Linked DNA regions of Canis lupus familiaris. The protein of the gene in region 7 interacts with the protein of the main gene of each other region in a pairwise test. Links are inferred from orthologs where the notes say so. Each region holds a gene or a part of one and is shown on either strand. Other genes may lie near its edges. The genes, in order: CDKL3, CDK5R1, ODF1, PLSCR4, TAF13, GTPBP10 and MTUS2.

Region 1 (4,267 bases), on a different chromosome or scaffold from region 7:
AATTCCTCTTTTGACTTACACCAATGAAGGTAAAAAAAGCAAACCTTTAAAAACTTTATTTCTCTTGTTGCAATTTTGTTGACAGATTTCTCCGGTTTCTCGTAAAATATCTTAATGGCCACTATCTGCCCAGTATCCTTATGTTTACACTTCATGACTGTTCCATAACTTCCCTCTCCCACTTTTCCGAGGGTTTCATACATCTCCATTTTCAAGCCCGATTCTTCTTCATAAAAAGAAAGGGAAAAAAAAAAAGTTAGACATTTGTACGTTCATGCGTACAAGCTGGCCAATGCATCTCCACAATAAACCCGTATTTTGACATTTGTGAACGCGAAAACTGTTCTTTTTCCACAGACGGTTGCACGTCTTGGGGAACTCCGCCCACGAGGCAGGAGGGTGTCTGTGTGGGGCTGCACACCTCACAGCCACGAGGGGGCTTCCTGTTGCCTCAGGCATCCCCGTCCACACGAAGGCTTCAGAGCCCCTCACTACGTGCCACCTGTCCATCAGGAGCGTGGTCCGCACACCTCCTGCCATACCCCCGTCAAAAGCGCGGTTTCCGAAAGGCGGAAGTCACCTACAGCTCTGGCCCCCGGACCCAAGAAAACCTCAGCCCCACCGGCTCCTCAAACCCGACGTCTTATGGTCCCGGACCAGTGTTGCGCTGCGCCCCTTCCCCCGCAGTCGACCTCGTCCGGTCAAGCCGCCGACTTCTCAGCCCATTCTGTAGCCCCGCCGGCCTGGCTCCGCGCAGACCCGGCTGAACAACCGGACACCGAGGCTTCCGAGCTGGCGAGCGCGGCTAGCTTCCGGCAGCCCGCTACCATGGCAACGGCGCCGCAGACCCCCCGCGCTCGGGACCTACTGCGCAAGACAGGAACATCCGCCCGGCCCGGCCCGGCCCGACCCGGAAGAGAAAATCATAAAGGGTTGAAAATGAGTTGCCGGTGGGCTTAGGCTCAGGGAAAGCTTTCTGGGGGTCGGGGTGGGGATTATATGGGTTGAGACCAACTCACAAGGTTGGTTTTGAGTTTTGAGCAGAGGTGAGGGGAGGATCCACATTTTACTGCCCCGAGAGTCTGTCTCCTAGAGAAGGGTGGAGGCTTGCTCCCAGGCCAAAGAACAACATGCCGCAGGTGCTGGGTCCTAAAAGGATGGCTTGAGTCGTGAAATAGAGACACATTGTAAAACAAGTCTTCCAAGGAAGTCTTGTGTAATTACGGTCGTCTAAGTTACCTATTTATATTAATATTCCATAGACCTGAGTTCGACCACAGGGGTCGGCATTCATCCTTAAGACGGGGTTAAGACGGTTCTTAATGTTTCTTGAACACTTGCTATATGCTTAGAAATTTTTCGAACTCGTAGTACTCCTTTTTAGAAACGCCCTCCTTGAGAAAACAAATCGACATAAAAGGACACAGCAAAAGGGGGATAAACATTATCTAATTGCTTAAAAACTAGACATGGGGTTCTGCTGGCCTGACAGCCTCCATACACTGTGAGATTCCAGAACAATTACACATTGCTACCTAATGATCCAATAGGGATATTTTTTGAAGATTTTCTTTGGCATTTTACTGCATACATACTGACCCGTATGTCTTCATCCTTAGCTATGGTGAGAATTAGGATCGCTACTGTGGGAGGCAAAAGATGAGAATATTCAGCTTTTAACTTTCAGAATTTCATTTGTGGATGCATCGCAGAACCTATCAAGAGTTAGGTTTGGCTTACTTGATCACCAATGAAGTTATAAAAGCAAAAGATAGAATTCAGGGTTTTGAGAAAAGGAGACAGCAAGAAAGTGAGGGAAATTAACGCTTTCAGTTTCCAGGAAACTATGGGCAACTTGGTGCAACGCTCCCACTATGCCTTGGGCTGAAGAATTACCCAGAAGGATATAAGGTGTTCAGAGTCCTCCAGACCAGCAAAGCCCTGAGGCCAGGAATCAAAGGCAATGGAAGGAGGGAACTCAACACCTCTGAGCAACCTGGTGGACATCTCAGACCCATCTGCACCTTACTTGCTGGTGTAGGAAACCTGAAATGAGTTATCCAGGTTAGCTATATAACTCCCACCCACGTCTGCAAAATCTCTTCCCCACATCCAAGTTTTTAGGCTTTCTTGACAACCAGCCACCCTTCTAAATGCTTTGCGATCTCATCTCCATGTACCCTATCTTAGCCAGTCATGGACTTTGACACATTTTGACACCAATCCTCAAATGAGAGGAGGCTTATGTTAAAATAAAATTCTGTAATTCCATAGAGATAGTCAACAAACCTTAAGACAATCTCTATACCATTTTTTTTTTGTCTTCGGAATTTCCAACCCTGCAAACCCCATTGTGATGCACATACAGGCTCTTTGGTGGCCTCATGGAAGCATTTCGGGGAATTTTAGTTGGTGTGGGCCTCAACATTTCAATGCTGGGCTAATTATGAAAAACAGAGGTTCCCTCACTCTGCCCCAGGTACCAGATTTGATAAGCCACTGAATCAACCAGAAAAGATTTTAAGTCCGTATTACTTTTAGCTGTTTTTAAAACTTAAGCAAAACAAGCTTTTGCTTCCGCCACGACCGCAGACCCTTTTCATGAAACTGGAGGGAAAACTTACTAAAGACCCATACCCGCCCTCAACCCCATAAACTTAACTACCCGCTCCATAGACCTGAGACTCAGATTCAGACGACACTTTCACGTGATCCGTTCCAACCTCGTCATAGGGACACGTGGTTCTAGATACTTCGTCCCCTCCCCCTCAGGGGTGGATTGTTGACAACGCCGCCGGCGGTCACGTGACCTTACGTCATCCCACCTCCTTTCCCTGAAATCTCTGGCCCCGGATGCGGCTCTCTGTCCCCACCCGGTCGAGCTTAAACTACTAAAAGGGGGAGGCATAGGATGGTGTTTCGGTTTCGGGGTCTCTTAATCCACAACCTCCAATCAGAGAACAGAGAGGACTAATTTATCTATTATATTAGGAAGCCAAAATTGGTAGAGCCCTGCCGCAGAGCTCCCAAAACGGGTCTAGACGCCCCGTGCCCTTCTCCCCCAACCCCCTCACCCCGTGGTACTGGCGGAGGGCGGAGGGATCTGGAGGCGGCGGAGGGAGACGTCATTGCAGGGTTGTTTGTGCAGCCTCGGCGGCGGCGGTGACCCACAGTGATTCGGCCGCCGCGCCGGGGGGTGGGGGGGCTGCGCGGGACTCTTTTCTTTCAGACTGACCGCGGGGCAGCTGGGGAGCATGTCGACTCCGGCCCGGAGGAGGCTCATGCGGGATTTCAAGCGGTAAGGGCGCTCACCTCCGCCTGGATGACGGCTCCTCCCCACAGCTATGGGGCTGCAGGGCGGGGATCCGGGACACCTTCCTCTCCTAACCCTAAGAGGGCCTCCTCTGGGCCCAGGGGTCCCGAAGGAAGCCCAGCCCCAGTCCCGGTTCGCACTCCTTCATCCTTGCTCACTCTGCCGACGTAAGAAATTTCGGTACCCCTCCCCCAAAAGTAAAAAGATGGCTATGGTTTGTCCTAGGGTTCCCCGCTGCCCACTTGGGTCAGCCCCCCGACGTCTAGTCCTAGAGCTCAAGCTTCATTTCCCCTTCCTCTGTCCCCCCAAAGCAGACCCTTGCAGAATCATATTCCCTGCTTGCTGCACCAGTTTTGCTGGATGGCTCTGCGGTCTTAGCTGAGGGGCAGGGTTGGGATGAAAAGCGCCCCCCCCCCCCCATTCTCTCTGCAGCGAGGGTGGGGTCTGCAGCGCGAGGTCCGGGGGTTATTAACCCATCCTCGGAAACCCGACTCTCCCTCGCCGCCCGAAAGGACCTTGAGAACTGGCTTAGAGAGCTGGGACTCGGGCTGGGAGCCCGGGCTGGGCTGCCAGGGCCTTCTGGAACTCAGCTCTGTGGCCTGGTGTCTAAAGCCCTATCTATAGCCTCCAAAGTCTGGAAAAATGCCTTCCTTGAGACTGGCGCTAACCTGATACTCGCTCGGCCTCCTTTTGTAAAATAGGGTTTTGTTAGGAGGTGTTGGGGTTAGTAAGGAGGAAGTGACCTTTTTTTCAGTTTACCTTTGGATACTTGGAAGTACGGAGGCCGATAAAAATAAGAAAACTTACCATTACGATCCACTGCACGTTTTGTGGGGGTTTTGTTGTTTTCTTGGGGAGACCTGCTCATAGAAACTTGGGTTAGCTGTCCAGGAAGCAACCTTTTAACTTCGCCATTATAAAGCCATAGGTGAGGCATTTGGAAGCCATTGTTTT
Region 2 (4,087 bases), on a different chromosome or scaffold from region 7:
CCCTCCCCACTTCTGGGCCCCGCTGCCCCCCAAGGGCCTCCTACCTCAGGTCACACGTGGCAGCGGGATCTGAACAGACGGGCTGGGTGACAGCTCCCACCGAGATAGAGGCGTGGCGGCCAAGTCTGTGGCAGCAGCCGAGGTTCCTTCCAGCTCCGCCTCAGCTTATTTGGCAGCCCAGGGAGGGCTCAGCGCAGCTGGGGCGAGGGATCGCCATCCCAGCCCCCCGCGGGCCCTCCTCCCCTTCCCCAGGGAAGCGGCAGCTCCGCTCCAGGCCTCTTAAAGTAAGACCCCGGTTTCACAGCTTTCTCTCGTGTGAATTTCAGTAGTGCTTCTGCTGAAACCAGCAGCCACCTAGAACCTATCCTGTGTCAGAGGACCCTCTGCCTGCCCCCCGCCACCCCCCCTCCCTGGGACTGGAAGGGAGACTTCCCCAGGGCATCTTCACATTGACCTTTATTCCCCAAAGCTGGAGTGATGGGCCACAGAGGAAGACTCGCTCCCTTCTCCTGGTCCTCTCCCAAGTCCCAAGCCACCAATCTGGGAGAATCAAAAAGGAAATTGATTAAGTACATGTCGTGTGTTTTTCACAGCCACTAAGATAAGGTGGAAACCCAAATCGGCAGCTGCAAATGATCAGGTGCAGAATGGCAGGCTTCCGAAGCCATGAGGAGCGCTACTCCGGCCTTGGAATTGTCTCCAAGATCCAGTGGTCTCACTGGGCCTCGCAGGGCAAGGCTTCGTCTTCAGAAGAAACTGAACTGTTTGGAAACAGCTTTAAATGAACAGGGATGGGGACGGCGGGGGCGGGGGGTGTACATCATTACCCCATCATTCTGGTCCCCGACATCACCTCGGCTCTGCAGGAACAAATGTCATGCACCAGCAAGAGGCCTTAGCCCTCAGGTGAGCACTGGCTGGTTTCAGGCACGACGACCCCACCTGCCCAGAAGGCAGGCTGTCGGTGAGGGGCACCTGCAGCCGCCCTGGCCTTCGCCACAGGGTGAGTAAGCTGCATTAGTCAAAGGAAAGATTCGCCCAGGAAAGGAGCTGTCCCTAGCTTCACCCCACCCCTTTAGCTGGGACCCCAAATCAAAGAACTTAATGAGTCAAACCAGCTCATTAACCGACACTACCAACACGGCTGGGAGCAGGGGGTAAGGAGGCCAGGGAGCAAGTTCCATGTCTTCACTAAAGGAAAACTCTTCTCCCTAATAAAAGAAAAAAGAGCAAACCAGGGTGGTGCATGGTCAAACGACAGGACACAATCTTTGTACCAGGCCAGCTTCTCCTCGACGAGTTGTCCCAGGGTGGTGGGCACCTCGCCTCACAACCCCATTCGTGGCTCGGTCAGGGTGGCCAGCTCCACAGGCCTCTGGGAGAACGGATGACCCAAAACAAAAGCCAAGAAAGGCCCTCCAACCGGCAACAGCAATGGCTCCCCAGGGCCAACTGGCCAGAGGCCCCTCTCTGGCTACCATGCCAGGAGCGGCGGGCAGCCTCACCTGCCCTGGTCCAGCAAGGGCACAGGTGGCAGAGACAGGTCAGTCCTTCAAATTCCCCAAAGTTGAGAAGTCAGTGGCCTGGGTGGCTCTGAACACATCTTCTGGGTTTTTGCACAAGGTTCGGGAGTTCAAAAGCGCCCAGAGTTCTTGGCAGGGCTGAAGAAAACCCCAAGGAGAGAAGGTGGGAAGGAAGAGGCCCTCGGTGGCTCTGCTAGACACATACTGTACACAAAATCTGATTTGCTTAATAATAAATTTTTAAAAATGAATTGAATCCTTGAGCCATGATGCGGGCTACAGGGCTCACCGATCGAGCCCCAGGAGGAGCCGCTTCTTGTCCTCCTGACCACTCTCGTTCTTCAGGTCGGAGAACACCTGTGTGAAGTAGTGCGGGTCGGCATTGATCTGCAGCATCTTGGAGCTCATGAGGTTGATGACGGAGAGGCAGCGGTCCCAAAAGGCCTCCTTGCAGCTCTCCACCAGGAAGGGCTTGAGCGGGTAGGAGATCTCGTTGCCCATGTAGGAGTAGGAGAGGTACAGGCAGGTCAGCAGGATGGCCTGGAGCTCGTGGTCCGAGCCCACCTCGGAGGAGATGACATCCCTGCAGAGCATGTAGAGGAAGACCACGTTGGCCGGCGTGATGAAGCCCTGGTCCTGCCAGCCCTGCAGAAGCAGCGAGCGGTCCACGCTGCGCAGCCAGAGCACAGGGTCCGTGGGGGACAGGTGCTTCAGGCGGTAGCACCGGCGGCAGAGAAACTCGCCCAGGCAGCGCAGCAGCTCGCTGGTGGACGCCTGGACGATGACACGTTTGGGCGTCCCCGCGGAGGTGAGAGCCGGGTGCGGGGCCTTCTTGACAGAAGAGGAGACCCCGGTCTGGGAGCCCGAGAGCTGGCTGGCGGGGGGCGCGGGCGGCTGGGCCGGCGGGGGCTGGGCGAACGTGGACAGGTTGGCGCACGACAGCGACTTCTTCAGGTTCTCATTGTTGAGGTGCGTGATGTTGTTCTGGTAGCTGCTGTTGGGCTGCACCTTCTTGGAGTTCTTCTTCTTGGCCGACACGGCCACGATCCTCTTCCACGGCAGCACGGAGATGATGGAGTGCCGCTTCAGGTTCTTGTCCTTGGCGTTCTTGCTGTTCTGCACGGCCGTGTAGTGGCCCACCGTGGCCGCGCCATCCTCAAACAGCGTGGCCTTGCGGTAGCTGGGGGACAGGGACAGCACCGTGCCCATGGTGCCGCTGCGCGCCGGGCGGGGGCCCGCGCCCCTGCGCGCCCAGCCTGCCGGCCGGAGGCGATGCGCTCAGCGGGCCCGCGGCGGTCCGGGGCGGGAGGCGGGAGGCGGGAGGCGGGAGGCGGGGGCGCTCCGGGGGCGCCTGCGGCCCCCTCGGATCTGCGTGGAAAACAAGATGGTTCTCAGCACCAGGCGGGGCTCGGCGCCGCGCTCCGCCACCCGGGCCGAGGCGGCCCCCGCGGCCCTGGCCCCGGCCTCGCGCCCCCGCGCCGCAGCCCGGCCGCCTCCACTGCGGCACCCCCGCCCGCCTCCGCGGCCGCTGCGTCCCGACCGCAGCGGGAGGGGCCCGGCGCCCGCGGAGGTGGAGGCGGCGGCGGAGGCGGCGGCAGCGGCGGAGGCGGCAGCGGCCGGGGACCCCCGCCTCGACACACCGCGCGCGGCCCCGGCCCCGGCCCCGGCCCCGGCCCCGGCCCCGGCTCCTCGGGGGGCAGCGGGCGGCCGCGAGGCTCAGGCTTACCGGGCAGGCGGCGGCGGCTCCGGCGCTCCGCGCCCTCCCTCCGCAATGCGCGCCGCGGCTCGGGCCCGCGGTCCCGGCGCTCGGCGGGGCTCGGCGGGGCTCGCGCTCGGCGGCGGCGGCGGCGGCGGCTCCGGAGCTTCTGTCCAAGGTTCTGCAGGCGCTGCGGCCCCGCCCCCCGCCGGCCGCCCGCCGCCTGCGCCGCCGCCGCGCTCCCGCGCCCGCTCCCGCTCCCGCCCGGGCGCGCACCTCGGCGGCCTCGCTGTCGGGGGCGCGCGCGCGGCCCACGTACGGCCGGGGCTGGCCTGCTCCGGCGGCGGGGCGGGGGGCCGGGGGCCGGGGGCCGGGGTCGGGGCCGCCGCGGTCCTCAGCGCCAGCCGTGCGCGGTGCGGGCAGGGACGCGGCCAGGGCCCGAGCGCCTCTAGTCGCCGCGCCCCATCTAGGACCCGGACTCGGACGCCGGCGGCGGGTACTCCCGGCCCCGCCCCGCTCTGCGCCGCCGCGCCAGCAGCAGCCCGGCCGCGTGAGTCCCCGGCGCGCCGCGCAGCCGAGCTCCGGCGGGGCCGGGGAAGGGGGGGCGCCGGGGGCGGGACCGAGGCCCGAACCCGCCCGCCGCCCCGCCCAGACACGTGCTGCCTTTGTTCCCGCCGCGGCGCCCGCAGCCGCTGGCCGCGGGGGCGCTCTCGGCCGCGTCCCCGCCCAGGCGACGCGCGGCCCGCCGGGCTGGGGCTGGGGCCGGGGCCGGGGCCGGGGCCGGGGCCGCAGCTGCGGCGCGAGAAGCCATCCACGGAGGCTGGGTTTCCCGAGACCCCTTTTCCCATTAACACCCTCGTCCCCCGGG
Region 3 (4,267 bases), on a different chromosome or scaffold from region 7:
TAGAAGGTCATGTGAATGTGATTTCTAAACTCACAAAGCCTTGAGCAAGGTTTCACACCAAAGATTGTCTTAAAAAATTGAATCAACATGATATTTCTGGATCTATTTAGTCAGGGCTTGGGAGCTAGGTGAGAGATAAGGAAGAAGCAGCATTTCATTGGAAGAAAAAATATTAACAGTAGGAGTCCTCTGGGACTGGGGCTAGATCAGGATTTAATGTTTTCATCCATGGTCAGGAAAATTGAATATTTAGGTTTGCAGGTGACACTAAGCCCTCCTGGATAGTCAAACGTCAGACTGTCAGAAATAGAGCAGAGGAGGGTTTCACAAGGTAGTATGAATGGGAAGAAAGTGGCTGGAAGGAGACACAGGACGGTAAGCCTGAAGTCATATCTAGAATGGACTCAGTTATCAGTTCAGAGACTGGAGAATTCATGTAAAGACATCACCAACTTTATATACTGCCTCAGGCACAGAAAAAAAATCAGCAAAAATCCAGGCATTGTTGGGAAAAATATCACAACCCATAGAAAGCATTCTGTCTTATATAAACCACACTGCTGAGAATTAAGCTTGAGGTTGTGTCTACTGCATGCCAAGAAATAGGGACTCTTAGAGCTGGTGGAGGGTGCCCACAGGGTGAGAAACAGAGAGGCACTCTTTCTGGAGAGTCTGGAGAAAAGGGACAGGCAGGAGACAAAGGCTGGAAGGGATTGGATCAAGTGTTTTCAAGGATTCAGAGGCACAGGGATGGTGGAGACAGGCCTGCTCACAAGTAACCCTTCCTATAGACCAATTTAAAAATCCCTGACTCACAGTGTGCAAAACTTACATAACTTGATCCTCTAAGGAGTAAAAATAAAAACTTTAAAATTGAATGTAGATGAGTTTATAGGCTATAGCCCCATTCCAAACTATTGAGAGGGGTTTGTTCCTGACCTTTGGTGACTGATGACTTGGACAACAGTTGCTCTATTGCCCTTTCTGGTGGAATATCCCAGTCACTGTTATCAAGTGTCTGTATCTCCCATCCACCCAGCCACCCAGCCACCCATCCACCCACCCATACATCCACTTACCTACTTACCTACCTCTCTAATCTATTAATCTACCATGAGAATAGGAAGGATGTTAAGGATAGAAACTTGCAATGAGTAGTAAATAAGTCCCAGAGATCTAATGCACAGTATAGTGAATATAGACAACAATATTATATTATGATCATCAGACTTGGTAAGGGATGATAATTATGGAACATGATAGAGATGCTAATTATCGCTTCAATGGCATCATCATAATATATAGATGTATCAAACATACTATACACCTTAAATTACAGTGTTATATGTCAAGTATGTTTGGATCAAAAGGTCTATCATCCATTTGTGCCCCCATCTTTTTAAAAGTAGTAGCATATTAAGTAGCTTTTCTTGCCTCTTTCATTCAATACAGCAACACATAAAATGCTTCATCGTTCTGCGTTACATCTACCTAGTATCCCAGTGTAGTTTATTTATTTATTATAATAAATAAATTTATTTAACTAGAGTACAGTGCTTTCAGCAACTGTTTATATCAATTATACCAGACTAGATGGCATACAGTGGAAAGTTAGAAATAGAAAGCTTTCTCCAGGCCATAAAAGGAAATGTAATCAAACAAAATAGTAAAAAGTAGCTTTGAAAATTACCCAATTCAGTTAAAACCCTCTCAACTCTGTTCTGAAAGTCCTCGGTTCTATAGTTCATACGTACAACCTTTGCCACTCCTGGAGGAGGCAGTCAACAGGACCGTCCCTACTCCAGATGGATTTTAAGGCTGCCTGGAGTTGGGGAATGGGAGAAGGGTTTTCCTACAAAACCGAGGAAACGCCTCTGTTGTTCAATTTGCTCCCCTGCTCTTAAAGCCTCTGGCGAACATTAAGGATTTGATCAATGGTTATTGCTTCTCCTGTAGTCGTTTCTGTAAGCCCAAATATCCTCAAATCACTTTACTCATAACCAGAAAAAATGTTTAGTTTGCTCCTTTCAATAGCTTTTTAATGACACCTCCTATTTCTTTCCCTCATTAAAGCCACATTATCTATCATGTTGGCACTCCTGCTATAAACCCACAACAACCTTGCCAATCGACATCATTACATTGTCTTTTGAGAATCTCACAATTCCCATCATGGACCCGTCTACTCTTCTTTTCTTACATCTTTGCTAAGTCACCAGAGTCATTCTTTTGAACCCTTGTCATCATCATTGTTCAAGTATCAGCTGTTACCTCCCCTCCCCCGCCTTCAACTCCCAAGGTTTAATACACCGACTTATAAAAAATCTTAAAAAGTCCTTTTACTTGGCAAGCTCTCTCTTTTCATCTTCTATGGCTCTAATGGCTTTCCTCTCCAAACTTCTGAGAGATGGTCGCAGACAGTAGAGCTTGACGTCGCACAGGCAGCACGGGTAGAGATCACACAGGCCGCAGGAGCGCGCTCGCTTCGAGTAGCACAGGCAGTAGGGGTAGGGGTGCAGGTCGCAGCAGCAGTACGGGTGCATGTACAGGTCGCACAGACACCGTGTACATTCGTCAATGCATCTCAACTGCCTCAGTTCTCGGTCCACCTTCTTTATGTCCCTTCTAACACTGTCCAGAAGACAACTCAGTGCAGCCATTACAGTCACACCTTATTGTTTTGTGAGTACCTTTGGGAAATGGCACTCGGGGGGAAAAAATTATTCTAAGCTCTTCTCAGAAGTTTCTTTTAAAAATAAATGAGGCACGCATGATTCAGTTACTTTAAAGCTTGAGTTCTGTGACCTCACCACCCTCTAAGTATGTCATAGTCTTCTGGTTACCATGTGAACTATGCACAGCCGTGCTCTCCAGAGACCCTCCCTAGAGTTACAGAGCTACTCCCAGAACCATACTAATGTTGAGATTTCATTCTCCTTGACATGGGGTGGGGCCCTCAAGCAATCCCAGCTCTCTGGGGCTCATGGCTATCACTGTCCATGTCCTTGGCTTGAGTGTGTGTGTGTGTGTGTGTGTGTGTGCGCGCGCGCCTGGTTACAGCCACTAAGATCTCAGTGTAGGGGATGGTAGAGGCCCTGGCTCCTTTCTCTGTGCCCTTGTACCTCTAGCCTTCACTTGACACTTAGCTTCACCCCCTCATACTCTAGGAGTCATGCTGCCATCTCGTCCGTATATGGAAAGCTTGCTTGCTTTACAGAGCTTTCCTGTGGTTCTTCTGACCATGTCATTCTCAAGGCAGACTTGGTCCTTGGCCTTGTGGCCCTGAGTCTCTGAGTCCTGCGCATTCTCTGCTATCTGGCACCCTGCTATCCTGAAGCTCCAGTCCCTGGAGTCCTGCTCCCCAGGACTCAGGCTCCTGTCGGTCACCACCTCCCAGCGATTTCTCCTCCAGTCTTTCATCCAAGCCTCTAGATGCCCTGTCTCCAAGTGCTTCTCAGGTGTTACCCCTTAGTACTGGGACAGCCAACTGTCTGAAGTGGCTTAAAGCCAACTACCCAAAAACCTCACTTGGGCCAGTTTCCTGTGCTCCCAGCTGGATCAGTCAGTATGCTGGGCCATGGGCTCAACCTCAGCCTTGGTTTGGGTACTTCTATTCCTTGGGCCAGTCCCTTCAACCTGCTACCCAGCTCTCAAGTCCCCTTTTCATGGAGGACAGCATAGGGTACTTGAGGGCAAGCAGGTGGATGTAGCACTGGAGAAGGAGACAGGACCGGTTTTGAAGGGACTTGTGGGCCATCTAAGCAGGCTGACCTTTATTTTTAGCATAATGAAGAATGACTAATTTTCTTTTCTGCTGAGAGAAGTTGAAAGGTAAGTCTGATAGCTGTATACATCCCCCAGCATGGTAAAGGGGACAACAAGAGAGGTGCCTTTTGAAAAGCAGGGGCAGCCAAGTCTAGATTAGATGACTATAGGGATGGCTAGAAGAAACCCAGTGGTGTCCCCTTCCTCTCACATCCACTCAGACCCATCCTATCTATTCTCCACCTCTCAGCCAGAGTGATTTTCATATATAAATCTGTTATCCCCCACCTAATACCACCCACCCTTCTCTGTCCTCTTAGAAAAAGGGCCCAAATCCTTATAAGGTGCTGAACAATAGGGCCTCTGTCTCCCTCTCTCTCTCTCCTCCCCCATCGTTATTCCTGTAGTTCATTATTTTTTAGTCACAATGGCCTTTCTCAAAGTCTTACTCATTTCACCTCATTCAAGACTTGTCTGCACACTGTTCTCTCTGCTTAGAAAT
Region 4 (3,500 bases), on a different chromosome or scaffold from region 7:
AGAAATTAAATAATGGAATTTAAAGAAATTAATTAAAGCCGAATACTTCTATAGTATTTCAAGTTCCTTCCTGTGAATTACAGGGCCATATTTTGCATCAGTCATCATAAATAAGTACAGAGTTCAGCCACTAGGTGGCGGTCACAGTGAATTTTTGTTAATTTCATAACTGAAAATTCAGTTCTATGTTCTGCACCATGTTTTTCAACTTATCTAGTCATTTGATTTGCATGATATATCTGATGCTCTGGCTAATTTTTTGATACAGAGAGGAATACACACTTTCCCAAACGAACAGTACATGACTTATAACCAATGTTACTTGGAAATGAGAGAGCCTTTGTTCTACACGAATCTAGGTTCTTGGATATAGTGATCTATGAATATAAGTTAGATCATGTTGACAGTCAGTGAAGTAAATTTGGAGAAATGGTCAGATATAGTATGATTATAATTTAGGACTGTCAAGACCTTGGATTTAGCAGGAGTTGAGCCAGTAATGAGGGGTTATATCGGAGCAGATATGCATACGTACAAGGGAAAGGTGAAAAGGAAGCCCTGCTGTTTTCAGAAAACACTGAGAAAGCAGAAGTTAACTGAGCCCCCTGGTCTCTCTCTTTTTTTTTAAGTACATAGTTACCAATGATTATTTTATTTAAATTCAATTAATTAATATATAGAGTATTATTAGTTTCAGAGGTAGAATTTAATGATTAATCAGTTGCATACAATATTCAGTGCTCATTTCATCAAGTGCCCCCATTAATTAAATGCCCATCACCCAGTTACCCCAAACCCCCCCCCCCCCCCACCTCCTTTCCAGCAACCCTCAGTTTCCGATAGTTAAGGGTCTTTTATGGTTTGTCTCTCTCTCTGATTTTACCTTATTTTATTTTTCCTTCTCTTCCCCTATGACCCTGTTTTGTTTTTTAAATTCCACATGAGTGAAATCATATAATTATCTTTCTCTGATAGACTTATTTCATTTAGCATAAGATAGCTGAGTAATATTCCACTATATATATTCCGTATCTTCTTTACCCATTCATCTGTTAATGGACATCTCTATCCATATTTGGCTATTGTGGACACTGCTGCTATAAACATTGGGGTGCAGGTGCCCTTTCGGATCACTATATTGGTATCCTTTGGGTAAATACCCACAGATATTATGGGTAGGGCCAAAACCATTATCCTGTGGGTCCTGGGGTTTCTTCTCTTCTTTCACAGACTAACTCAATGGTTTATACTTCTAAATGTACACTTAAATATACATTTAGAGAAACACTGCTATACTTTATCATTTTCTAAATCATTAAAATGTATTTGTATACAATCCTAATTAATTCCTTACTTACTTCAAAAGTAAGTACATTTCTAATTTTAAAAATTTCACACATTGCCAATTACTTTCTAAAAAGACTACAATAACTCAAATACCACTAGCATTATGAGTATCTATTTCACTGAGTCACCACCAGAAGTGCATTCAGACTTACAAAATTATTTATATAATTCCTTAATCAGCACTCAAGGCCATTCACCCTCATTTCTCTTGCATTTGTCCATTGCATGTCTCATACCAAACTTTCATGACCTTGTGCTTTTGTACATATAGTTCTTTCTGCCAGAAAGAAGTCCTTCCTTTTCTTTGAATGAGAAACTCCTTATCAAGCCAGAAAAATCTGACTTCCTCAGTTACGTCTTCTGTTAATCCCTGCTAAAATCAGTTACTGTCATCTTGGCCTTAGAACATCTTCTTCATATTTTCATAACAGAGTAGAGAGATTACCATCAGTGTTTTATACAAATTCCTTCCTCAGGTGCCTACAAATGTATTCTAATGGACATCCCGTAAACTACTTGGCACTTTGGAGGCATGATATACTTACATAAATATATAAGAATACTTATTTATTGAATCATTCAATTACTTAATTACTTTTATTTATTTATTTTTAAAGATTTATTTATTCATGACAGAGAGAGAGAGAGAGAGAGAGAGAGAGAGGCAGAGACACAGGCAGAGGGAGAAGCAGGCTCCATGCAGGGAGCCTGATGTGGGACTCGATCCCAGGTTTCCAGGATCACACCCCGGGCTGAAGGCGGCACTAAACCGCTAAGCCACCGGGGCTGCCCTAATTACTTAATTACTTTTAAAAGCAATCTTAACTATTAGTATGGTTTTTTGGAGAGGTGAAAATAATCTTTCTGGTTATTTAACCCACCTAGTACTAAATGGGAATTGTAGTCAGGAGGTGCATCAGGCCTTGGATCAGGAGACTTTACTTGATTCTCTACTTCATCTGTAGGTTGCTCAGGGGCTGCGGGGACCACACCTTGGGAGAAGTAGAGGGGACATGAGTTACAATGGAAGTGATAACGTGATAAGAGAATATGTTCATTTTTCTTATCAGTGAAAGTAAATAATATGAAATATACTCATATTTTTAAAAGACACATAATTCATTATGTAAATTACATATTAACCTGTAATAACCTGTATTAACCCGAACTGATGAATTTTCAGGCTGAATATAGATTTAAAAAAAAAAATGAAGCAATTATTCATATTGTGCTCTGACCAAAGCAACACACTTTCATGCTAGTGGTTCAGCTCACTTCATGCTGATGCCTACCTACATGAACTCCTGACACATTAGCAAAAATTCTTTTCTTCACTACCTAATATGGAGAATACAGTAATATATAGAGTGAATCTTATTTTTTCCCCAATCCTTTTTGGAAAATAACTGTGTTTTAATAAATTCAAAACATCACATGATAAATACGTAATGCCTTAAAACACAGCAGTGCCACACACAACTCAGTTAGAGGTGGTTTAATATACCTCTCCAGTGAAAGTGACCTTGGTGAAAGGTGAGTGAACTCACTTTCCATGATGCTATCTTGTGCCCTTGTTGCAATCAGAGAAATGTCTGCCTGGATTCACTACAAGGTAAAATTCTTATTCTCTTAACTGACTGGTTTTTATCTCATGAAATACACAAATCCCATAAATGTGGTATCTCTCTCCTTCCATTGTCTCCTGCATTTGCTTGAAAATGCAGGACCTGATTCTGAGCCTTTCTCTATATGGGCAGGCTGTCATCACAGGCTTGTTATTACTGCTTCTTTTTGCAGACTTAATTTCTTACTTTGTCCTTTACTTAATTTTCCCCACATACTTTAGAGATCTTTCAGTACATATGTGCCAATATAAATCCATTTAAATCCTTTTCTGTCAAAGATAGATAGAAATGTTCATATGTATATAAAAGATGCATTCTCCAAATGCTAAACAATAATAGAAAATTTCAAGGAAATAAATTCCAATTTTTAAGGAAAATATCACATAATCCATATTTGAGAATAAAGTATATTAAAATTTATTCATAAAATCTTACCTGACATTTTGAAGAATTCCACTTAGTCCTGAAAAATGAAACATTTATTTATTTATTTATTTATGATTTTATTTATTCACAAGAGACACAGAG
Region 5 (2,735 bases), on a different chromosome or scaffold from region 7:
TATCTCAAATGCTTATCCTGCCATCAGCTTTTTAAGCAACACCATTTCTACTACTGAAAGTATTTATTTACAGAAGTTTTAATCTGACCTAGGAAAATGAGTTCTCTTAAAACTTGACAACTAGTTCATTATTAAGTCCAAAAGGTTTTAAATCAAAGCCTTCCAATACGGAAGAATTCACATGAAACTTTTCATTTAAAAAAACAAACAAAAAAATCATTCTTGTAATCTAAAGAATATTAAAAAACAAGTATCTTAAGACCGATAAACATTCCTCCAAAACACTATTATTTTCTTGTATTACCTTCTCCTTTAAAAAAAAATGCAAACCAGTTCACTCTCTTAATAATTTCTTAGACTTCTGTAGTCTAAAAACTTTAGAATACATGAAACATCTTAGCAATCATAATCAAAGGTGCCCTTTAGATTTCATATATTAAACAGCTATTGTATAGCCTACAATGGCACAAATACACTCAACACATAAATACTACTTCATCATTTAGACGGTCAAAGTCAGAAGGAACTGCATGGTTTGCAAGGTATTTCAACTTACATGTGGTCATTAAAACCCAACAAGTAATTCAAGTATAGTCATATAAGGGCAGGCAATTCAAGGCTCAAATTTCACTCTAAAATTGAAGATCTGAAAATAAAAGCTGAAAACTTTGTTTCTCCATCTTGGATATACATGGATAGATACTGGGACCTTACTGTGGAAAATATACAATTATTATACACGGTTTCCCCAGAAAATAATGAAGCTTCAGAAAATACAGAAAGTGTCAAGACCCATAATTTGCTTCATCAAAAGCTTTTCTAGCTCGTTTCAATTCTTCATTCATAGTAAGCAAGTCTTTAACCCTAGCAAACTTCCTTGGGTCCTTTCGAATCAAGAAGACGATATCTTCGACTTGTACCCGACCTTGTCTTCCAATTGACATTGCCTTGTGAGTCTATTACAAAGAAATAAATTAACTTAAAACAAATCTAGTATTTTACTCTTTTAATTTCCAATTATTTAATATTGGTGAACCTGAAGATTTTCTCTTCTAATTTTTATAGCTATTCATTTGTAAATTGTCTTTCTATTCATGTCGTTTATCCACTTTCTACTGTATTACAGCAACATTTCTCTTAATGGTTTATAAACATCTTACAATACTAAGGATATAAAAGCTATCAAATTTATTGATTTTTTTAAAATTTTTATTTATGATAGTCACACAGAGAAAGAGAGAGGCAGAGACATAGGCAGAGGGAGAGCAGGCTCCAGGCACCAGGGAGCCCGACGTGGGATTCGATACCGGGTCTCCAGGATCACGCCCTGGGCCAAAGGCAGGCGCCAAACCGCTGTGCCACCCAGGGATCCCGTGATTTTTTTTTTTTAAGATTTTATTTATTTATTCATGAGAGACACAAAGAGAGAGAGAGACAACAGGCAGAGGGAGAAGCAGGCTCCACACAGGGAACCCAATGCGGGACTCGATCCCGAGTCTCCAGGATCATGCTCTGGGCTGAAGGCAGGCGCTAAACCACTGAGCCACCCGGGCTGCCCAAATTATTGGTTTCTTTTTTGTTTTTTGTTATTGTTTTATGTTATTTATATAAAATAATTCTGTAATTTCTTTTTAACTGCACATTTCATTAAAGCTTTCTGTCTCAGTACCTGATAAATAGTGGTAGGTCTTCTCAAATTCAAATAAATCTCATCTCATATCACATATTCATCCTGTGCAAAAACAAAGGTTCATCATAGCATTATTTCTAATGACTAAAAAAGGGGAAACTAAGTATTTAATAAGGCATTAAATAAAAAAATTTGGGCATATCCAGTCAATATTAAGAAGCCATTAAAAATATTACAGTGTTATGCAACGACCTGGGGGTCAGAGTTCTACTTATCTAATTGAAAAAGCAAGCTCTAAGACTAAATATACTATATGATTTCAATTTAATAAAGTTTAAAAATACGTGCAAAAAAACTCAAGAAGGGCAGCCTGGGTGGTTCAGCAGTTGAGTGCCTGCCTTCAGCCTAGGGCGTGATCCTGGAGACCCGAGATCGAGTCCCACATCGGGCTCCCTGCATGGAGCTTGCTTCTCCCTCTGCCTGTGTCTCTGCCCCTCTCTCTCTCTCTCATGAATAAATAAAATCTTTAAAAAAAAAAAAAAAAAAAAAACAAGAAAATATTCAGCAAAATCTCAGCATAAGTCGTTTCTAGGTGGAAGGATTGCAGATTTCTATTTTCTTTCCTGAACCTTTTAATATCGCCTAAACTTAATATTATTTTTATAAATGGAAAATAATTTTTAAAAATGCATATTCTGGAATATTCACAGGAATTTTACTTCTATTATTCTGTACTAATGAAATAATCTTTTTTTTTTTTAAGATTTCACTTATTTATTAGAGAGAGAGAGGGGCAGAGACACAGGCAGACGGAGAAGCAGGCTCCCTGAGGGGAGCCCGATGCAGAAATAATCTATAATATAATACAAGGTAGAAAGTCAAGGAACAAAAAATAAAAAAAGAAAAAAAAAGAAAAAGAAAAATAAATAAATAGAAAAAGTCAAGGAACACAACCAAACTCAGTATCCCCATCCCTGTAAGTATATACAAGGAGATGGGAGGACATTTCATGAATATGATCATTCAAAATTACCTACTCAATGAAAAATAATCTGCAAATGATTTATATAAGAGAGATATGGTTAAATATATTAGAAAACAACTT
Region 6 (3,500 bases), on a different chromosome or scaffold from region 7:
GATGCTAACGGTTGAAGAAATGATAATTGAGATTTTACCTGAAAAGTACTTAATAAAAATTTTAGAGACTGAAATCCAACTGATGTAGGAATGAGTTAGGGGCAGACAGGGCTAGTCAGGGAAAGATAAGAGAAAGGCCCCAGAATCAGGCTCCTACCCATCCCAAGAAAACAGAGGTAAGACAGTAAAAACAGAAAAAAATAAACCTGGCTCCCTAGTTCCAAAATGTTAGGGAGTATTCCCCTTTAATAGCTACTAGGCTCACAGAAACCCCAGATGTAGAGAATTATGGAGGAGACATTAACCAGAGAGAAGGAACACCTTGTTTGTGCTCATGATATTTACAAAGAAACATCTTGTTTGATAAGGGAAGGGAGAAGAAATGTGTGGGAAATATTAGAAAGGGAGACTAGAACATAAAGACTCCTAACTCTGGGAAACGAACTAGGGGTGGTGGAAAGGGAGGAGGGCGGGGGGTGGGGGTAAATGGGTGACGGGCACTGACGGGGGGCACTTGACAGGATGAGCACTGGGTGTTATTCTGTATGTTGGCAAATTGAACATCAATAAAAAATAAATTTATTATTAAAAAAAAAAGAAACATCATGTTACAAGTCCACCATGTTTGTTCTAAATATCCACCCTGATATTGACAGGAAATTTACCAAGTCCCCTCCCCCCCCAGTTCCCTATAAAAGATAGACTATAAAAGCCCTCAGGGGCAACCCTGTCAGAACCCCTCTGGCTTTTGAGAGCTTTCTCTGTATCTCTGCTTAATAAACCTCTATCACTTTGCTATGTTACAGTCTGCGAGATTGATTTTTCGACTCCAGGAGACAAGAACAAAGCTCTCCCATATCACAACCTATGCAAAGATCAGATTTGAGAAGAGCAGTACAAATAAATATGTATATAGGACACCTTTCTTCTAAGATGCAGTTCATTCCTGAAACCAGCAAACAGGTATCTGCTTACGCTGGTACTCACAGTAATAACTTTTTAAGAATAGTTGCCCAATTTAAAAACACTAAAATACATGTTAAGCATTGTACTTAACAAACTCGATGCTTTAAAAAAAAACCCTCGATGCTTCAATTATTGACTGTAATAGCAAAACCACTTCTGAAAAGCTTAGTACTATATGTACTCTCCAATACATTGACAATGTAGTGATGATGATGATGGTAACAGCTACCATTCATTCATTGAACATTCATAAATCCAAGGAATGTATTGTAAATGTGTTTTCTTACATTTTACCATCTCCAGCCACTACTAAAAATGAGAAAACAAAGGCTTAGAGACATTCTACAACTTATTTAAGACATTCCAGGTGGCCTTCAGAGGATATGAAACTCTAACCCAAATAGTCACTCACTTGAGTTCCCCATCCTCATCCCACCTTTATTACTTAGTCTTGTGAGGCTCTTTAGTCTGTAAAAGTGTTTACAGAATCTGAAACACATTTTCGTAACAAATGAGACTGCGAATGGCTAGATTCTCAGTCTTGTTCATAAAAACCTACTAAACCCACATTGTGAAAAATATGTGTTACAGAAACTATGCCTCATAACTATACGGAAAAAACTAAATGCAAATGGCAAACCTGAACACCAGGATCACATCTTTCTGTATTATAACTTTAGCAAGAATGGGACCTTTATGAATTCTAGGGCACTGCTGTTAAGACTTAGTAGCTAGACAGGCATGGCAAGAGGTGACGGATTCAGACTGATGACTCTGGTAAATAAAGCAGTGAGATGCCTAGAGAAGATGAATTAGAAGCTATGTGAGGTGAAGAGTGGAACTGAAAGTTTGAAATAGAACCAGCAAAAAAGCAGTATTCCCTACCTTTTTCTTAGGTGTTCTGACTACTGTGTAATGCTGAAGTGGGGCCAGGCAGACAGGGAGAGAAGAAATGCAAAGCTGAAGCCTTCCCTTCCTTTACCTATTTTCTATTTTGCTCTCTATCTCCCTCAGTCAGGTGCCAGCACTGCAAACTCTACAGCTAAACAACACTGTTCTATGATTTTTTTATTTTATTTTTTTATTTTTTTTTTATGATAGTCACAGAGAGAGAGAGAGAAGCAAAGACACAGGCAGAGGGAAAAGCAGGCTCCATGCACCGGGAGCCCGACGTGGTATTCGATCCCGGGTCTCCAGGATCACGCCCTGGGCCAAAGGCAGGTGCTAAACCGCTGCGCCACCCAGGGATACCAACACTGTTCTATGAAACAATGGAAGCCTGTAAAAGAGGATAACATTGTGGGGTCTGCAGTACTGAGAATGGACCTAAGCAGATCATGAAGGACAAGGAAACAGTCATATCGAGATCCAACTTGGTGCTCCAACAGTGTCTAAGTCTGATGGTTGAGACTATCTGTATTGGCCATTAGCCATCTGATCAACAAGATAGCAATACCTCTATTAATTAAGACTTGTAAGAAGATTTCATTTTTTCTCTTTTTACTTCCTTCCATACACTTCATAAAATGTGGTTTGGATTTTAAATTTTATTTTTAAATATCTGGTAATATTCTTTTTACCTTCTTATACTACTGCATTTGATTGATTTTTCTTTCTTGATTCATTGTCTATCATTCCCACTAGCCTACTCAATTGCCATTATCTTCCTTTTACAAATAAATATTAACTGTGAAACTCTATGTTTGCAATATTAAAATAACTGTATTTAGCAGCATTCTCAATACAAACAATGCACAAATTCCATAAATTTATTCCATAAATAATACTGGTCCCAAATTACCATTTACATTTATCTCCTACTCATGAACTATCTCTCTGAAATTATAAAAATAAAAATACAAATGTTACTTACCCCACTAGGCCTATATCAGCTATAAGTTTTAGATCAAGGCGAATGACTCGTTTCTGGCCTTTCAGTGGTAAGAAATTTGTAAGTAATTTACCACCAAGACCTCCTTCAGCTACCAAAATTCTGTCTTGCTCTTTATTGAGTTCTCCTTAAAAAGACAGAGAAAGATACTTAGAATGAAGATTACTAAGTGTAGCTAATCATTAATGACATTTTTCATTTAGAAATAGATGCCAAAAAAATTCCAATTTATAAATCCAAAGAGCTGTATGTTTATAATAATCTTATATCTAGCAGTTAATTTTGAAAAATTTTTAAAAAAGATTTATTTATTAGTAGAGAGAGAGCACATGTGCATGCACTAGCAGGGGAGGGACAAAGGGAGATGGAGAATCCCAAGCTGACTCCTGCTGAGTGAGGAGCTTGACTCAGGGCTGGATCCCACCACCCTGAGATCATGACCCGAGCTGAAGTCAAGAGTTGGATGCACAACCAACTGAGCCATCCAGATGCCCCCTAAACAACTTTTATATAAAGTTTTAAATATCTCTTATAAATTAGCAGTTAAAATAGTTTTTTAAAAATTCTGACATTGAAGAGGAGCTATTCCCCACAGTTTCCAAACAATTTTAGAAAATATGCACATTTTTCACAACCTTGGAAT
Region 7 (4,134 bases):
CAGGTCCAAAAAAAGCCCCATTTGTGCAAAATCACAAGGCAAAGAGTTGGTTCTCCAGGTAACCACCTGATCTCAGTAGCTCCACACAGCCCTAGGTTATAGCACTTTGCTCTTTTTCAGTAGGTCAACTACACCATTGGCCAGATTTCAAATTTTGTCTTTTCAGAAGACTGGGGATGTTAAAAGGAGAAAAAGCATTTTTACAAGTTAACTTAACATTCAAAAATAATTGAGAGCCAGAAGAGATTCCAAGTTTGCAGAGCATTACATTTATATGATGGGAGGCAGGGGGGTGGAGAGAGTGTCATCCTTATTTTTAAAAAATCTAAAATGCAAACACAAAATTAGGTATGACCATGTGAACTCATTGCTAGTGGCTTTCCAGGGGCTCAGAAGAAACCTGTGTGAGGGGCCCTGAAGTTTAAGATTCATTAGCTTCCCAGTAAATCCGCCTCTGCTGGGAGAAATAAAAGACTAGAGCGGTTTATACCGCAGCATTAAAATCTCTAGAAAACCGCTAAGCTTAACAGCATTCTATTACATCAATCCTCTAGATGCTATTCTTATCTCTCTTTCACAAACCTCCATCCCTGCCGTTCCCTCTAATTTGGCAGCCACAATTCATTATAAAAGTCCATGTGCCGGCCTGGGGTTGTGCATCCTTCCCCTATTTGGGCTCTAACAATCTAGTACTGTGTCAATTATGTAATAGCCAAAACACAGAGTTGAACAGAGTATGAAAAAGCATAGTTCTTACATAAGCCTTCATAAACCACCCATAAGAGCTGAATATTTGAAATTACATAAGGTAGACAGAAAACCCTGAGTCAGCAGCCAGGTCTATTTCCAACCTTAAAAATAATAAAAAGCTTTTCACACTTAATTTACTAGTCTACATTAAGTTTTTAATTAGATTTTTTTAATAAGGCTGGATTATCTTTTCGTGCACCCAGAAGCAAAACCCTGACACTATACTCAACTTCACTATTACCTCGGCACAAAGAAATGTCCCACTTAGGACTCCTCTACATATTTTACTTGGAATTATGGGTCTCTGAGAAACAACAAGGACTTCTGCAGGCTTAAAAAATAATCAAGGAAGACCTCTGGATACAATACAAAAGTGCACATACTATAATTCTTCGACACATCTTCCCAATACTGTTTTTCTTTCCCATTTTTTAAAAGATTTTATTTATTTGAGGGAGATGGAGAGAGAGAGCAGGAGCAGAAAGAGGGAGAAGCAGAATCCCCGCTGGGCAGGGAACCTGATGTGGGGCTCAATTCCAACACCCCGAGATCATGACCTGAGAAAAGGCAGATGCTTAACTAACTGAGCCATCTAGGCATAACCTCCCCCAAATTTTAACCACTTTTTTTTTTTATTTACCTTACACCACTGAAGCCACATGTTGGGCTAAAAGGTGATAAAACTAAAAGGAGCAGTGCTCCCCAATGGGTCTCAGCCCTGGCTGCACAAGAATCAGCAAGAGAGCTTTTAACATTTCAAATGCCTCAGCATCGCCCCAAACCATGATAATATAAATTAAAAACAGATAGGAATACTAAGGTGGGGGCACAAGAGGGGGTGCCTAGACATCAGAATTTCCGACGTTTTCTATTTTTGTCTTCTTCTTACCTGAAAAGAAAATAACCATGGATACAAGAAGTTTTAGTGAGGAGGGATCTTTAATAACCGATAGCTCAAAATTACTAAGTCTCTACCAGATATAAAAAGAAAATCATTCAGTAGTTTGAAAGCCATAAGAGAGATCTGTGGGATCTTCTGTTTTTATTTCTATCAATAAGTAGTCAAAATTTTTCACGAAGTTTCTCAATAGCCTTTACAGAACCTCTTTTACTTTTTAATGTTTTGCAAATCTGTCTAATGAGTTCAAAGGACGCGCCCTCCCTAGATCATCTTAAAGGATCCCTCAAGCTAAGACCATGCTTCTCTTCAAGTAAAGTTGGGGTTGAAAATAGTTTTGACTTCTCTTCAACCCTTCTCCTCAGGTGCTCTGGTAATCACTATTATAACTTTACCAATGAGCAACTATTTTTTGAAGTACTTATATAACAGAGAGTACAGGCGCCTTTGGTACCCTGCCAAGAGTACTTCTTTCCATGTTTGTATTTAAAATAGAACGGTAGTAACATCACTTCTGTGCCTGAAATTCCTCTGTGCACAGGCTCAGAATGAGAAGGGGAAAAAAATGGATGTAGCAAACCGCTTCACTGCTTTATCATCCTAAAGCTCAAAGGAAATAACACATTCATACTAAATTAAGACGAAGGCACAGAACAAATTACCCGAAGCTGGAGGCGGAGGGAAGGACTCGGGTCCGCTCACCTACCCCCTCCCGAAACAGGACGCTTGACCTGGCAGCAGCGAAGGCGCCAAATGAGCTGCCAGACCTCAGCCCGAGCAGGTGGTGCGGGCAGGAAGGAAGAAGTGCCGCGAGCACAGAAAAGCCAGGTAAACGCGGCGCGGCGCGGCTCCGAGCCCGGCTGCCGTCACCCCGACTCGGCCACCTGCCGGCGGGCGTGGCCCCGGCCCGACTCGCTCACCTGGTGGGAAGAGCGGGGGCAGCCGTCCAAGAGGCCGCCGCTGCCCTCAACGGGGCTCCGTCCCGGCCCGCGGCCGACGCGCTGCCTCCTCCGCTCCCTCCGCCGCCTCTTCCAGCTCGAGTTTTCTATTTAGCGACAGGTCCGGACGCGGCGGGCGGGCCACGGAGGTCGGCCGCGGGGAGGGGCGCGGCAAACTTGCCCCAGAGGCCCGCGGAGGCGGCGCGGCCGGGGACGCCCCCGCACCTGCAGCGCGCTCGCCCGCACCGTCGCCCCGGCCCCGGCCCCGCCCCCGCCCGCGCCCCGCCCCCGCACGCACCTCGCGCGGGCACCGCCCAGGCCTCCGCCTCCGCCCCCGCGGCGGGCGCTTCCCGGCCCCCGGGGCCCGCGGCCGGCGCCCGCCGACAGCACGCCCGGCTCGGCCGCCGCGGCCACCGCTGCTCCGGCCGCCTCTCCCGGACAAAGACGGGCGGCGGGGCGGGCGGCGGCGAAGCCCGAGGCTCGGAGCGCGCGGCGCTGGCGGGGGCGGGGGCGGGCGGGGGGACAGCGCGGGGCGGCGAGCGGGCGGGCGCGGGAGGGCGGCGCGGGGCGGCAGAGGCGCGCACCCCCTCCCGGCCGCCCCGAGACGCACACGCCGGGGCCCGGGCGCCTCCTCCCGGCCCCGGCCCCGCCGACCGCAGCCGCGCCGCCGGGGAGCCGCAGCGCCCTCTGCGGGCCGCGGGGCCTCCGTGCGCGCCGCGTTGGGCTCCGGGCCGGCGGCGGCGGGGGCGGGCGGGGGCGGGCGGGGGCGCGGGGCCGCGAGGGTCCCCGCGGCCCCGGGGAAGGACGGAGTAGGACCGAGGCGGCGTCCGAGAACGGGATCCGCTGTTTTTCCTCTTGGGACGGAAGAGAGAGACAAGATTCGAATTCCGGGCAGCAGGAGGAATCTGGGATCCGAAGTGGGAAAAACTTGGGGGGTCGGGGGGGGGGGGGCAGTAGGATTCCTGATTCACAAGGACCCAAAGCTAATCTCTGGTAATGGCTGCAGAAAAGGCAGGCGTGTCCTTCTAGAAGCCGGTGCTTCTGTGCCTGATACTGCGGGCCTGCAGAGAGCTTGGCCACTCTCATAAATAGACGCATGGACTTCTCCAAGACCTTTCCAGCCCTACCCGAACTGCCCCCGGCTTCCCTAGGAACGCACCTGGAAGGTTTGAAAAGGCAACTGAGATCAGAGAACTTCCTCCTCTGGCTCAGCCGCAGTGGAACAAATGTTTACTATTAAAAAAAATGAAACCGTGATGTTGCCCCTTGTGCCATTTAGGGCTTGTTTTTCTTTTCTTTTCTTTTCTTTTCTTTTCTTTTCTTTTCTTTTCTTTTCTTTTCTTTTCTTTTCTTTTCTTTCTTTTAAGGGTGTCTTTTTCCAAACTACCATGTTACCTATAGTGTTCTATACAAGTTAGCTTTTTAAACAAGCTGAACGACTTGGTGACCGGGGATCGCGAAGTAGCACCTTTTTTCCACACTGTCTTTTGAAATCATTCTGTCAGCTCTCCCTTCCCCTTTGGAAGAATCTAGGACAGTTTTCACAGC

What was found.
Region 1: the proteins of MTUS2 (region 7) and CDKL3 interact in binary tests that used the Homo sapiens proteins (3 or more experiments, as listed by UniProt). The two-hybrid records come from large-scale screens. The link is inferred for Canis lupus familiaris from reciprocal best matches to the Homo sapiens genes MTUS2 and CDKL3.
Region 2: the proteins of MTUS2 (region 7) and CDK5R1 interact in binary tests that used the Homo sapiens proteins (3 or more experiments, as listed by UniProt). The two-hybrid records come from large-scale screens. The link is inferred for Canis lupus familiaris from reciprocal best matches to the Homo sapiens genes MTUS2 and CDK5R1.
Region 3: the proteins of MTUS2 (region 7) and ODF1 interact in binary tests that used the Homo sapiens proteins (3 or more experiments, as listed by UniProt). The two-hybrid records come from large-scale screens. The link is inferred for Canis lupus familiaris from reciprocal best matches to the Homo sapiens genes MTUS2 and ODF1.
Region 4: the proteins of MTUS2 (region 7) and PLSCR4 interact in binary tests that used the Homo sapiens proteins (3 or more experiments, as listed by UniProt). The two-hybrid records come from large-scale screens. The link is inferred for Canis lupus familiaris from reciprocal best matches to the Homo sapiens genes MTUS2 and PLSCR4.
Region 5: the proteins of MTUS2 (region 7) and TAF13 interact in binary tests that used the Homo sapiens proteins (3 or more experiments, as listed by UniProt). The two-hybrid records come from large-scale screens. The link is inferred for Canis lupus familiaris from reciprocal best matches to the Homo sapiens genes MTUS2 and TAF13.
Region 6: the proteins of MTUS2 (region 7) and GTPBP10 interact in binary tests that used the Homo sapiens proteins (3 or more experiments, as listed by UniProt). The two-hybrid records come from large-scale screens. The link is inferred for Canis lupus familiaris from reciprocal best matches to the Homo sapiens genes MTUS2 and GTPBP10.

The regions. Positions count from the first base shown.
Region 1 is NC_049232.1:22,530,554-22,534,820, forward strand, and holds the start of CDKL3 (cyclin-dependent kinase-like 3), read right to left. Parts: upstream 2,801-4,267; 5' UTR 2,679-2,800; intron 2,065-2,678; exon of another isoform or gene 1,889-2,064; coding exon of another isoform or gene 1,834-1,888; intron 951-1,833; coding exon of another isoform or gene 358-950; intron 314-357; coding exon of another isoform or gene 275-313; intron 227-274; 5' UTR 210-226; coding exon 45-209; intron 1-44. Other genes in the region: uncharacterized protein LOC119876780, read left to right, coding at 275-313, 358-950, 1,834-1,888; UBE2B (ubiquitin-conjugating enzyme E2 B), read left to right, coding at 3,255-3,298.
Region 2 is NC_049230.1:40,470,969-40,475,055, forward strand, and holds the start of CDK5R1 (cyclin-dependent kinase 5 activator 1), read right to left. Parts: upstream 2,801-4,087; 5' UTR 2,733-2,800; coding exon 1,809-2,732; 3' UTR 45-1,808; intron 1-44. UniProt on the Homo sapiens protein: p35 is a neuron specific activator of CDK5. The complex p35/CDK5 is required for neurite outgrowth and cortical lamination. Involved in dendritic spine morphogenesis by mediating the EFNA1-EPHA4 signaling. Activator of TPKII.
Region 3 is NC_049234.1:4,268,204-4,272,470, reverse strand, and holds the start of ODF1 (outer dense fiber protein 1), read right to left. Parts: upstream 2,801-4,267; 5' UTR 2,661-2,800; coding exon 2,344-2,660; intron 1-2,343.
Region 4 is NC_049244.1:41,959,168-41,962,667, forward strand, and holds part of PLSCR4 (phospholipid scramblase 4), read right to left. Parts: intron 3,436-3,500; 5' UTR 3,415-3,435; coding exon 3,408-3,414; intron 2,340-3,407; coding exon 2,229-2,339; intron 1-2,228. UniProt on the Homo sapiens protein: Catalyzes metal ion-induced ATP-independent rapid bidirectional and non-specific movement of phospholipids (lipid scrambling or lipid flip-flop) between the inner and outer leaflet of the plasma membrane and participates in the redistribution of phospholipids between membrane leaflets.
Region 5 is NC_049227.1:43,177,262-43,179,996, reverse strand, and holds the end of TAF13 (transcription initiation factor TFIID subunit 13), read right to left. Parts: intron 957-2,735; coding exon 786-956; 3' UTR 501-785; downstream 1-500. UniProt on the Homo sapiens protein: The TFIID basal transcription factor complex plays a major role in the initiation of RNA polymerase II (Pol II)-dependent transcription.
Region 6 is NC_049235.1:16,228,224-16,231,723, reverse strand, and holds part of GTPBP10 (GTP-binding protein 10), read right to left. Parts: intron 2,985-3,500; coding exon 2,840-2,984; intron 1-2,839. UniProt on the Homo sapiens protein: May be involved in the ribosome maturation process. Complements an ObgE(CgtA) function in E.coli ribosome maturation. Plays a role of GTPase in vitro. When missing, disorganization of the nucleolar architecture is observed.
Region 7 is NC_049246.1:11,012,810-11,016,943, forward strand, and holds the start of MTUS2 (microtubule-associated tumor suppressor candidate 2), read right to left. Parts: upstream 2,801-4,134; 5' UTR 2,569-2,800; intron 1-2,568. UniProt on the Homo sapiens protein: Binds microtubules. Together with MAPRE1 may target the microtubule depolymerase KIF2C to the plus-end of microtubules. May regulate the dynamics of microtubules at their growing distal tip.